2 linked regions of the Macaca mulatta genome follow. Each later gene encodes a partner of the first gene's protein in a complex. Links are inferred from orthologs where the notes say so. Each region holds a gene or a part of one and is shown in the gene's direction. Other genes may lie near its edges.

Region 1 (6,315 bases):
AAGACCACCAGGTCCTGAAGGCTACCAGAAATATAAAACCACAGAAGGTGGTGCGAAACCTTATTCCTCAGATATTTTTATTTTTCATAACCATTTTTATACCGGAAGCCAAATATCTTCTTCTGATGTATCCTCTATAATTGGGACATTTAGAGTTTGATGTTTCTGTACATGTTTAAAAGAAGTGAATTTCCCCAGATGGGGGTGGGTGGACACCCACCCTTTATTTTCCCTAACAGTTGGAGTAGAAAATAGTTTTGAGTATATTCCAAATTATAGCGTAGTCAGTCTGATTTTCGCAGTGTGTTTTCAAACGTGTTAATACTAAGACTGCTTTGGCCAAATGATTCATATACTGCCAAGGGGTTCCTGGGTAAATTTCTATGCATTTCAGTTTCTTTTTAGGGAAGTAGGAACAATATCTGTCTTACAAGATTCGTTCTGAGAACCAACAATGTGGTACCTAAGGCACTGGAATTCTTTCAAAAATTTATACCCTGACATTTCCAAGAGCCATGGTCACCCTTACAAAGGAGAATTAGGCACGCATTTGTAGACACTATAACTTTTAAGCTACAAAAGACCTTAAGTAACATTCAATCTAATCTTATTATAGAAGTAAGTATACCACAAAAAAGTTAACTGACCCCTCCAACTAGTGTGCAGTTAAGACTGCACTTGAGATGCCCCCCTGTGGTCCCTGTTTCACCTTGCCTCAATCATTGTAGAATTGCATATCATAAGCCTACAGAGACAGTGGTGTCTATCCCTGGGAAGTTTTCATTGTAACATATGATCATTACTACCCTGGAGGTTCTATCTGATTTTAATTTTTTTCACTTCATACTTGGTCTCTCTCTATTGAGTCAGATTTCTTACATTCTAATATTAGGGGAAGGGTGGAGATTTGAAGAGAGGGGAAGGATTGGTTAGTACATGGCCAGTCAAGGTAAAGATGATTGCAATCATCACCAGAAATCTCTGCAGAACTACAGAGGGCTCCTGGGACTAATTCTGAAGAGCTCTGACCGAAGTGTGCTTTATTTTGCCTGTACCAATTCTACCAAGTAGATGAATTCAGTCCATGGCTTGCAGGCTTGGAGGTGGAGGTGGGATGGAGAGCATAAATTACATTTCTGCAGGTGAAACCAGAGCATAGTGAGCCAAAACCCCTTTCTACCTGGGTGGCATGAATGGGTCCAACTGCTACTATCCCCCAGGACGAGGGAGCAAGGCGGGGGGGGGGCAGGATGGGAGGATGGGGCTGCCTTGAGCCTCCTGCAGGATGACTGGCAACTACTTTCTTAGCGGTCCTTAAGGTCCAATCGCGGTTAAGGCACTAACTAAACTCATTCTTCAGCCTCCTTCTCTAAGTGCTCCTCGAATTGCTCAGTTTAGATGCCCAGAAGTAGGCTCAGGATCCATTCTCTGCGGCAGCACAATGTAGGTCAGATAGCATGAATGCAACAGCTACTTATGAACACAATAGCTACTCTGTTATTGCAAGGTATCCACAACCACCACTACAAAGATTAACACCTTGCTTTACTTGGGGGGAAAAAAAAAAATCATGGTCCTATTCAGCAGTTTCCCCATACAGGGAGAGTTTGCCCCTCCCCCACTCAACAAGGCTGTTCATCCCTAGGAAGTGATTGGAAGTGATTTGAGAGTTTTCCAAAGATTTAGGCTTTCCACTCCTCCAAAGCTTTCACAGTTCTACCTGGCAGAGGTGCGTGGGGGGTAGGGGAGGAAGGGCGCGAAGCTAAACGTCCCCGTTCTGCAATGAGCCTGATATTAGCAGAAACACAAGAGCGGCCTGCAGCCCCATAACCACAGTGCGTCCTTCCCCTTAGAAGTCTGGGGAAAGAAAATCCCTACGCCCAGCCATCATTTCCACTCTTGCGTTTTCAAAAGATCAAAAAACGGAAAGGACCGGCAGGTTGGCAAACCCCAAAGAGGGACCGCCCATCATGTCGGCGTCCTTGGGATCTCAGCAGCCGACGACCCCAATTCAAATCGATCGTGGGAAACCCCAGGGAAAGAAGGTTCACTTGCAGAGAGACAGGATTACAGGGTGCAGGCTGCAGGGAAGTACCGCGGGGAAGGGGGCCTGGTCGGAAGGACTTTCCAGCCACTTGGCACTCATCAAAAAGTTCCCTGTCCGTGACCCCAGTGGCTCATCGCAGGGAGTTTCTCCGACGAACCCCAGCTCAGGGTTTAGGCTTCTTTTTCCCCCTAGCAAAGGACGAAGCCAGTTCTCTTTTCTGGTCTGACTGGCTTGGAAATTCCCCGCGCCTGACCCCGCCCCAGAGAAATCCCCAGCCAGCGTTTATAGGGCGCCGCGGCGGCGCTGCAGAGCCCACACCAGCCCGTGCCGCCGTCCCGCCCGCCAGCGCCCTAGCGAGGAAGCAGCGCGCAGCCCGCGGCCCAGCGCACCCGCAGCAGCGCCCGCAGCTCGCCCGCGCCATGTTCCAGGCGGCCGAGCGCCCCCAGGAGTGGGCCATGGAGGGTCCCCGCGACGGGCTGAAGAAGGAACGACTGCTGGACGACCGCCACGACAGCGGCCTGGACTCCATGAAGGATGAGGAGTACGAGCAGATGGTCAAGGAGCTGCAGGAGATCCGCCTCGAGCCGCAGGAGGTGCCGCGCGGCGCGGAGCCCTGGAAGCAGCAGCTCACCGAGGACGGGGACTCGTAAGTGGCGCAGACCCGGAGCCGGGGGTCCTCGGGAGGGCCGGATGCGCGCGGCCGGGGAGTGGGAGACGCCGGGCCTGGAGCCCGACCTGGGGAACTAGCGATGCAGCCGGGCTGGCGCCGCGGCGCCCCGGGGCTCCTGCACCGCCCCGAACGCTGCAGGGCTGCAGGGCCGCGCGGGGCACCGGCCCGACTCGGAGGGGCGGCGGCTGGGCCCTGGTGGACGGCAGCGTCGCCACACGCCCCCTCCCCCCAGGCCTGTCCTCTAGGCCGGGGGCGGGGCGGCAGCTGGGACGCGAAGTCCCCGGTTGCATAAGGCGTTTCTGGCCGCTGGCGGGCGCCGAGCAGCCGGGAGGGGAAGTACAGGGCGTTCCGAGCTGGCGGGAGGGCGGGGCGGTCTGGCCGGCGCCCGCCGGGGCCGCGGGGGGAGGGGGGCGGAAAGTCCCTGGGCGCCTGCCAGGAACACTCAGCTCATAATAACCTCGCGGAAAACACCGCGGCCTCGGCCTCCAGAAACCCCGGCCTTGCGCAATCCCCCGCAGCCCGCGCCTCCCTGGGCCCCACGCGGTGCACTCACCACCCCTGGGGTTTTTCCCTCTCTTCCCCACAGGTTTCTGCACTTGGCCATCATCCATGAAGAAAAGGCACTGACCATGGAAGTGATCCGCCAGGTGAAGGGAGACCTGGCCTTCCTCAACTTCCAGAACAACCTGCAGCAGGTGCGCCGCTTGCCTGGCCCGGGCTCTCTAACTCTGGGATGGAACTGATGTAGCAAAGTCACCCCAGATCCTTTCTGAATTCAGGGCCACTGGGCATTATTCACCCTCACCTTTTACTTCACGTCAGCCCACATCCTAGAGAGTGAAGGAAATTCCACTGATTTGGTGAGGTCTTTGTGACCCACCTGGAGTCTCTGCTATTTGCCAGTCCTCCCCACCCGCCTGTCCAGGAGGAGCAGCACCCAACCAGGAGACACGGGTTCAGGGGAACTCAGGGTGTGGGTTTGGTCCCTGGCTTACTTTCTCTGGTCTCTCCTGCATTCGTAGACTCCACTCCACTTGGCTGTGATCACCAACCAGCCAGAAATTGCTGAGGCACTTCTGGGAGCTGGCTGTGATCCTGAGCTCCGAGACTTTCGAGGAAATACCCCCCTACACCTTGCCTGTGAGCAGGGCTGCTTGGCCAGCGTGGGAGTCCTGACTCAGTCCTGCACCACCCCGCACCTCCACTCCATCCTGAAGGCTACTAACTACAATGGTATGTCTGCCTCCCTGCCCTGCCCCACCCCCTCAGGTGGCAGGTGATGTGGAGAAGGGGCAGGTGGGCCAACTTAAGGAGTCGAGGCAAGAACTTAAACTGCCAGCATTTGAAAGGTTGAGAAAATACGTGTGCAAAGTGCCTGTTGGATGCCTTTATAAAGTTCCTTCAGAACCCAGACGGTGGGTTCTTAAAATTCAGAAGATATGACTATTTGTCCCATAAAAGAATAGGTGAAAGGAGTGAGGGTTGAAACAGGTGGTTATACTTTTTTCGTTTTGTTCTTCCAGGCCACACGTGTCTGCACTTAGCCTCTATCCATGGCTACCTGGGCATTGTGGAGCTTTTGGTGTCCTTGGGTGCTGATGTCAATGCTCAGGTTAGTGCTTCCTGCCTCCGATGCACTGAGTCAAGTTCCCCGTGCTCATGTTGTGAGCAGAAATTCCAAACGCAGCCATAAGCATCTCAAATTCCTTTTGGTTTCAGGAGCCCTGTAACGGCCGGACTGCCCTTCACCTCGCAGTGGACCTGCAGAATCCTGACCTGGTGTCGCTCCTGTTGAAGTGTGGGGCTGATGTCAACAGAGTTACCTACCAGGGCTATTCTCCCTACCAGCTCACCTGGGGCCGCCCAAGCACCCGGATACAGCAGCAGCTGGGCCAGCTGACACTGGAAAACCTTCAGATGCTGCCGGAGAGTGAGGATGAGGAGAGCTATGACACAGAGTCAGAGTTCACGGAGTTCACGGAGGATGAGGTGAGTCTGTGAACTCCTTGGGCTCTCTAACTAATGAGGGACCATTCCCTTCACCCTCCCGGGCCCCTAGAACTGCTCCTTATCAGAGGGGTATCTACATAATGAGTCTCTCAAATTTCTGTGCATAACCAGTATCCCAATAATGTACCTTTTTTTTTTTTTAAAATAGCTTACCCTTTTTTAAAGAAAAGCATTTTTTAAAACATTTTTAAAATGGGAGTTAAAGGCAAACTCCCTCAGCCTGTAAAGTTCATTGTATTTGGGCTATGGAGAATGGAGTCCAAGGGTTATTTCCAGTAGCGGCCTCCCCATCCCAGTGGCTTGGCAGAGCTTCGGAAGTTTAATGTGTCTTCTTTCCCCTTGTTTTCAGCTGCCCTATGACGACTGTGTGTTTGGAGGCCAGCGTCTGACATTATGAGCGCAAAGGGGCTGAAAGAACATGGACTTGTATATTTGTACAAAAAAAAGTTTTATTTTTCTAAAAAAAGAAAAAAGAAAAAAAATTTAAAGGGTGTACTTATAGCCACACTGCACACTGCCTGGCCCAAAACGTTTTATTGTAGTGGGATCAGCCCTCATTGTGTTGCTTTTGTGAACTTTTTGTAGAGGACAAGAAAGATCATTGAAATTCCAAGAAAACTTCTTTTAAACCTCACCTCTGTGGGGTTTTGGACATTAGCAAAAATTCATGGAAGGACCACATTTTATATTTATTGTGCTTCGAGTGACTGACCCCGTGGTATCCTGTGGCATGTAACAGCCAGGAGTGTTAGACCTTTCAGTGATGTGGGGTGAAAAGTTAATACCTGTCAAGGTTTGTGTTACCCTTCTGTAAATGGTGTACATAGTGTATTGTTGGTAATTATTTTGGTACTTTTATTATGTATATTTATTAAACAGATTTTTCCAAATAAGTTATCCTGATCATTTTCTTCCTGTTCTGAAGTTCCATCCTCCGGCAGAGGTGGAGGTGGAGCATTGTAGGGGAGCAGGGAACTCCCAGCAGCTTCTCACACCTGACACCCAGCCTCCAGCAAAGCTTTGCAGGCACCCTGGGCTCAGTGTGTGGGAGGGAGGCTGTTGCAAGGTTATAGGAAATACCAGTTTCAGGCTTGGGGTGGAAGTGTGCTGCTTGGCCTGTGGTTGGAGAGGTCTCCATTGTCATTCAGTCATCCCTTGATTTCAACTGTTGCTGGACCCTAACTGCCAGTTGAGGAAATTATTTTGGCCAAGAAGAATATGCTGAATTCATATAGAGCTGGGAAAGATCTCACTAATACAGGAAGTTCTTAAGGACATAGGCTCAGAAATGGGACTGTACTGACATTTGTTAGCAGATACTCACCTCTGAGCCTCAGTTTTCTCATTAGCTGGGCTGTTCTGAAAATTACATAAGACAATCCACGTAACATGCATAGCATAGTGGCAGGCATGTAGTGCTAAAGAAAAACAAGCTGTTACACAACATCCTTTATGTCATACCAGGAGAAACAAGCGCAGAGAGAATGTCCTGTCCACGGTCACCTTGCAGGAGAGGTAGGTGATTAACATACTTAACACGCACTTATTTTGGGGTAAACATCTTTTAAGAACATTCCATCTGTTTATG
Region 2 (5,157 bases), on another chromosome or scaffold:
CTCCTACAGTGACAGCACAGAGATGGTGAAAATCATTGTGCACACTGTGCAGAGTCAGGACCGTGTGCTCAAGGAGCTGTTTGGTCATTTGAGGTAGGAAAATTGCTTCATTTCCTACTGAAGAACCAGGATACGTTTATCTTGTTCTTCTCAAAGTACAAATGCCCTCTTTGGTAAAGTATACTTACCCAGGAAGGATTCTGAAAGTACCTTGGGTAGCTTGGCCATAGCTGTCTGCATTTATGTGTCCTTTTGTATGCATTACTTTGGAGATCAGTCATTAAATCTGATGCTGATTGTGGTTCATTTCCTCAGCTGGGTTTTGGGAATATGGTATACATACAGTCTTGGGGAACATGTAAGTGTCTGACACTGATTTAATCTCTCCAGCAAGTTGTTGGGCTGTAAGCAGAAGATTATTGATCTACTCCCTAAGGTGGAAGTGGCCCTCAGTAACATCAAAGAAGCTGATAATACTGTCATGTTCATGCAGGGAAAAAGGCAGAAAGAAATATGGCATCTCCTTAAAATTGCCTGTGTAAGTAATTATTAATGAATTATTTAATGTGACATTGAGTTGCTGTTATTCCCTGCAAAGGGGATTTTTATCAGCATGAGGTGAGCCCTCTTGAACACATTTTGTGCTGGCATGTATATATTTTGCACTGGCATGAAATGACGTCCATGTTCCTTGCTTGGTGTCCAAACTAGCAGTTGAGATGCAGGACTTATTATCATCTCTCCTTTCCAATTTCTCTGTTGTTATACTCCTCTTAGCCCTTGACCACTGTGGTATTCCAACCCAACTTGGGGATAGATGTACCTGACTAGATAATGAAACTGACCATCTATTCAACTGGGTTTTTTTTCTTTCTTCAACTAAAATGGTATAAGATGAATGGATACATTTGGTTTTAGTCAATGAAGAAAGGGGCCAAGGACAGTTTACTAACAGTGTGTAAAGGTGGGAATAGTTTTGCACTGAAATACTCTGGTTGTGCATATAAGTAGTAATGGAAATGTAAGTCTTAGGAATATGGTAAGAAATTGTGTGAATCAACAGAGATGCTTGCCTGTAATCTTTTGATGATTTTTTTTCTTTTCCTTCAGACACAGAGTTCTGCCCGGTCCCTTGTAGGATCCAGTCTAGAAGGTGCAGTAACCCCTCAGACGTCAGTATGGCTGCCCCCGACTTCAGCAGAACATGATCATTCTCTGTCATGTGTGGTAACTCCTCAAGATGGGTGGGTTTACTTTGTAACAATAGATAGCTGTGTTTTCATAGCAGTGGTATAGGAATGAGGCAGTAGTTGTTAAGGTAGTCTTCTGTGCCTTCAGACCAGGGTTGAGTCCTGACTATCCCTTTGTAATAATCTTAGGCAACTTACTTGACTTTTTTGATGTTCATATTTCCTCACCTGTAAAACAGGAATGTCTCATAGAACTGTTGTGGAAATTTGATTAGACAATGTATATAAAGTGCTTGGGAAATAAATGTTCAGCAAATGTTGCTTATTATTAGCTCAGTCCAAGTTCTAAGTCTTTTCTTTTATTGGCTTATTACTTTCTTTTACTCAAACCTTATTCCTTCATTAACAGTTTATAAGAAATTATGCTATCATTTTGCATTTATCATTTTGGGGATCCTTGATTACCCTTCTAATAAATTTTTGAGATCTATTTTATAACTTTGTATTTCTAAGATTAGACTTTTTTCAATGTTTTAAATCAGTTTTGCAAGTAAGAACTCAAATTCCAAGCCCTATATTTTATTAATTCCTACTCTTTTGCTAAAGCTGAATGACTATCCATTTCTGTTATTTTCTCAGCATAAGATGTGCCGTATCCAAAGCCAGTGGCTCTTTGCTAGCTTGTGTATTGTCGCTTTTCTCACAACTCATGGAGACCTCTACAGCACCAGCATTTCCTGGAAACTCTGCCCATAATTAGTTTTGCAGAAGAGCAGCCATGTTACATCACTGCTCAGGAGGTCATGCAGTTGCACATTCTGTACTCTACTTTTATGAGAGAAAAGCACATGGCAGGAAGGCAAGCTGATATCAGGTATTTTATTTTTTTAAAGAAAGGAAGTTCCAGGGTATATATCTTGGGGTCATTATACATGTGGCCCAATGCAGTACACCTACAACTGTAGCACAGGCTATAATTAAATATATGGACTTTACAAAATATTCCAGCAATCAGAGTTGAAGGAAATAAAATTTAATACTTTACTTACTTTTATGCCTTTATTAAAGGCATTTAGGTTTTTTTGGCAGATGCTAATGTTTGCAAATGTCACCGCAATACAGGTGATTTCCAATTTGAGGTGTGGTTGTTTGCAAAAGTATATGTGACATACTTTCAATGTATTTTCTAGAAGGAACACATTATATTTTATTTTGAGACGGAATCTCACTCTGTCGCCTAGGCTGGAGTGCAGTGGCACAGTCTTGGCTCATTGCAACCTCCGCCTCCCAGATTCAAGCAATTCTCCTGCCTCAGCTTCCCAAGTAGCTGGGATTACAGGCGCGTGCCACCATACCTGGCTAATTTTTGTATTTTAGTAAAGACGGGGTTTCACCACGTTGGCCAGGCTCGTCTTGAACTCCTGATCTCAAGTAATCCACCTGCCTTGGCCTCCAAAAGTGCTGGGATTACAGGCATGAGCCACCGTGTCCAGTCAGAATACACTGTATAAGAAAATTGATTTCAATTATTATGTATCTGTGGTACTTAACTACCAAGGATTGGGAACTGTTTGGCCACAATTTTTCCATCTGTTGGATAAGAGCTGAATCAGAATGTCATTCTAAGCTGATAGTGACTATCATCCATGACCTAAAACGGACTCTTGTTAGGGGACTGAAGTTGGCAAAGGGAGAAGAGAGAGGCCATGTAGAAGAGGAAAGCATGAAGGTAGAAACCACAAGCAGGATTGCCTTCAAATATGAACTTCCAGGGATACTTCTTGGTTCTAGGTAGCTCCCCCACCACACTGTTCACTGTTTTCTTTTGCTGTCCTCAGGAATCAGCTTGCTTGTTTTGTTTCATTGCTATCTGTAGTTTCTAATGAGTTTTTCATTTTCTGTGATCTCTACATAACAGATTTTACTTTTTTCTCTTCTCCCCTACATTTGTGTCTGTGAAGTATGCATGCTGGTGTTTTTACTACTTTTAAGGAAAGAGAAGTTTTTAGAAACAAAAAGAGGTATTTCATCTGTCTTTGCCACAAGGATTTTTTCCTCCCTAGTTACATATTCAGGGGAAAAGCAAGTTGTACATAAGTGCCTCTTACGTTTCAGAGGAAAGTCAGATTGGAGTTATAGTGGACTTCTTATCCTTAGAGGTAGGTAGAGGTAGAGGCAGAAGCTTGGTTTAAACAGGACTCTGCCTCTGTAGGGAGGGATGAGGAAACTAAAGACTACAGGAGTCAACTGCACTGGGGTACTGGGTTACAGGAAGGGTAGTGATTGTGCTAACCTAGAAGACTAGAAAGTAGAGGAAATTCATATGCCCTTTTGCTGAATTTGAAAAGGCTTTGTTCTTTCATCTCACAGGGATACTTCAGCACAAATGATAGAAGAAAATTTGAACTGCCTTGGCCATTTAAGCACTATTATTCATGAGGCAAATGAGGAACAGGGCAATAGTATGATGGTAAGTTTTGTGTGGATATGGGTGCCTGCTTTGGCTATGTTGGGTGCAAAAGGTTTAACTTTCCATGCTAGCCTGTCTGGCATTTGGGATGCATATAGGAAACAGAACTCAAGAGGAAAGAGCATTTGGGGAATATCCTCAACCTTAAATCCTTATCTGCTGTTACTCAGGGATATACTAGGATTATGTCATCAATTATCTTCAATAATAGCATTTTTGGTCAAATTAAATGAGTGGTAAGCTTTCTTAACAATGTGACCATTGAAATTGAATGGTTTGTTCTGTACCTTTTTGCTTCAGCAATCCATTTTCTTCATTAAGATGGGACTTGTACTTTAATTCAGATATGGTACCTCCCAAATAGAAAATAAATTATGTTTATATAGCTGTAATAATAAAACTGTGTGCTAAAATTTGGTTACTATAAACTACTGATTTGTTAAAACTTGGGGAAATTACAATAAAATGTTTACTGCATCAACTTTTGCTGCATTTAGTCTTAATGTCAGTTCTGTATATTTCCTCTTTCATTAAGAAAAATAGCAGCGGCCAGGCATGGTGGCTCACGCCTGTAATCCTAGCACTTTGGGAGGCCAAGGCAGATGGATTGCTTGAGCCCAGGAGTTTGAGACCAGCCTGGCCAACATGCGAAACCCTGTCTTTACAAAAAATATAAAAATTGGCTGGGTGTGGTGGCACACACCTGTGGTCCCAGCTACTTGGGAGGCTGAGGCAGGAGGATCGCTTGAGTGCAAGAGTTTCAGGCTGCAGTGAGCCGTAATCCTGCCACTGCACTCCAGCCTGGGTGACAGAGTGAGACCCTGTCTCAAAAAAAGGAAAAAAAAAGAGGATGATAATGGCGGCCAGCCATAGTGACATGTACCTGTAGTCCGAGTTACTAGGGAGGCTGAGGCAGAAGGATTGCATGAGCCCAGGAGTTCAAGGCTGCAGTGCATTATGAAGAGCCACTGCACTCCAGCTTGGCAACATAGCAAGATCCTGCTCTCTTAAAAAAAAAAAAAGAAAAGAAAAAACGAAAAGGAAAGAATAATTGTTTGCTTCAAATATTTATGAAAAAAACTCTGAAATTTTTAAAATCAGGAAATAAGGTAAATGAAATTATTTTTCAACTTTTGATTATAAAATGTCCAAACAGACAGAAAACTTGCAAAAATGAACACCCATATACTTATTACTTATAGTCAACATCTAATTATAACTTTTTCATGCCTGGTTTTAGAATCTTGATTGGAGTTGGTTAACAGAATGAGTTGTCACTTGTTCACTGTCCCCAAACCTATGGAAGTTGTTGCTATACATGTTGGAAATGTGTTTTTTCCCCATGAAACCATTCTTCAGACATCAGTCAATGGAAGAAATGGCTATGAACAGAAACTACATTTCTACTATGATCAGAAGAACATGATTTTACAAGTATAACATTTTTGAGTAATTTAAGCCAGAAATTCATAAAAAGTCAATGTACTTGTTTGAATA

What was found.
Region 2: NFKBIA (region 1) and CHUK share a complex: the UniProt entries of both Homo sapiens proteins name them as parts of the 70-90 kDa complex. The link is inferred for Macaca mulatta from reciprocal best matches to the Homo sapiens genes NFKBIA and CHUK.

What each region holds. Positions count from the first base shown.
Region 1 is NC_133412.1:108,519,450-108,525,764, reverse strand, and holds NFKBIA (NF-kappa-B inhibitor alpha), read left to right. Parts: upstream 1-2,376; 5' UTR 2,377-2,466; coding exon 2,467-2,693; intron 2,694-3,303; coding exon 3,304-3,412; intron 3,413-3,739; coding exon 3,740-3,950; intron 3,951-4,240; coding exon 4,241-4,329; intron 4,330-4,436; coding exon 4,437-4,706; intron 4,707-5,076; coding exon 5,077-5,124; 3' UTR 5,125-5,604; downstream 5,605-6,315. UniProt on the Homo sapiens protein: Inhibits the activity of dimeric NF-kappa-B/REL complexes by trapping REL (RELA/p65 and NFKB1/p50) dimers in the cytoplasm by masking their nuclear localization signals.
Region 2 is NC_133414.1:112,238,138-112,243,294, reverse strand, and holds part of CHUK (inhibitor of nuclear factor kappa-B kinase subunit alpha), read left to right. Parts: coding exon 1-93; intron 94-390; coding exon 391-538; exon of another isoform or gene 539-566; intron 567-1,063; exon of another isoform or gene 1,064-1,110; coding exon 1,111-1,244; exon of another isoform or gene 1,245-1,524; intron 1,525-1,829; exon of another isoform or gene 1,830-2,064; intron 2,065-2,380; exon of another isoform or gene 2,381-2,529; intron 2,530-2,861; exon of another isoform or gene 2,862-2,981; intron 2,982-3,560; coding exon 3,561-3,660; intron 3,661-4,900; coding exon of another isoform or gene 4,901-4,930; exon of another isoform or gene 4,931-5,019; coding exon 5,020-5,100; 3' UTR 5,101-5,157.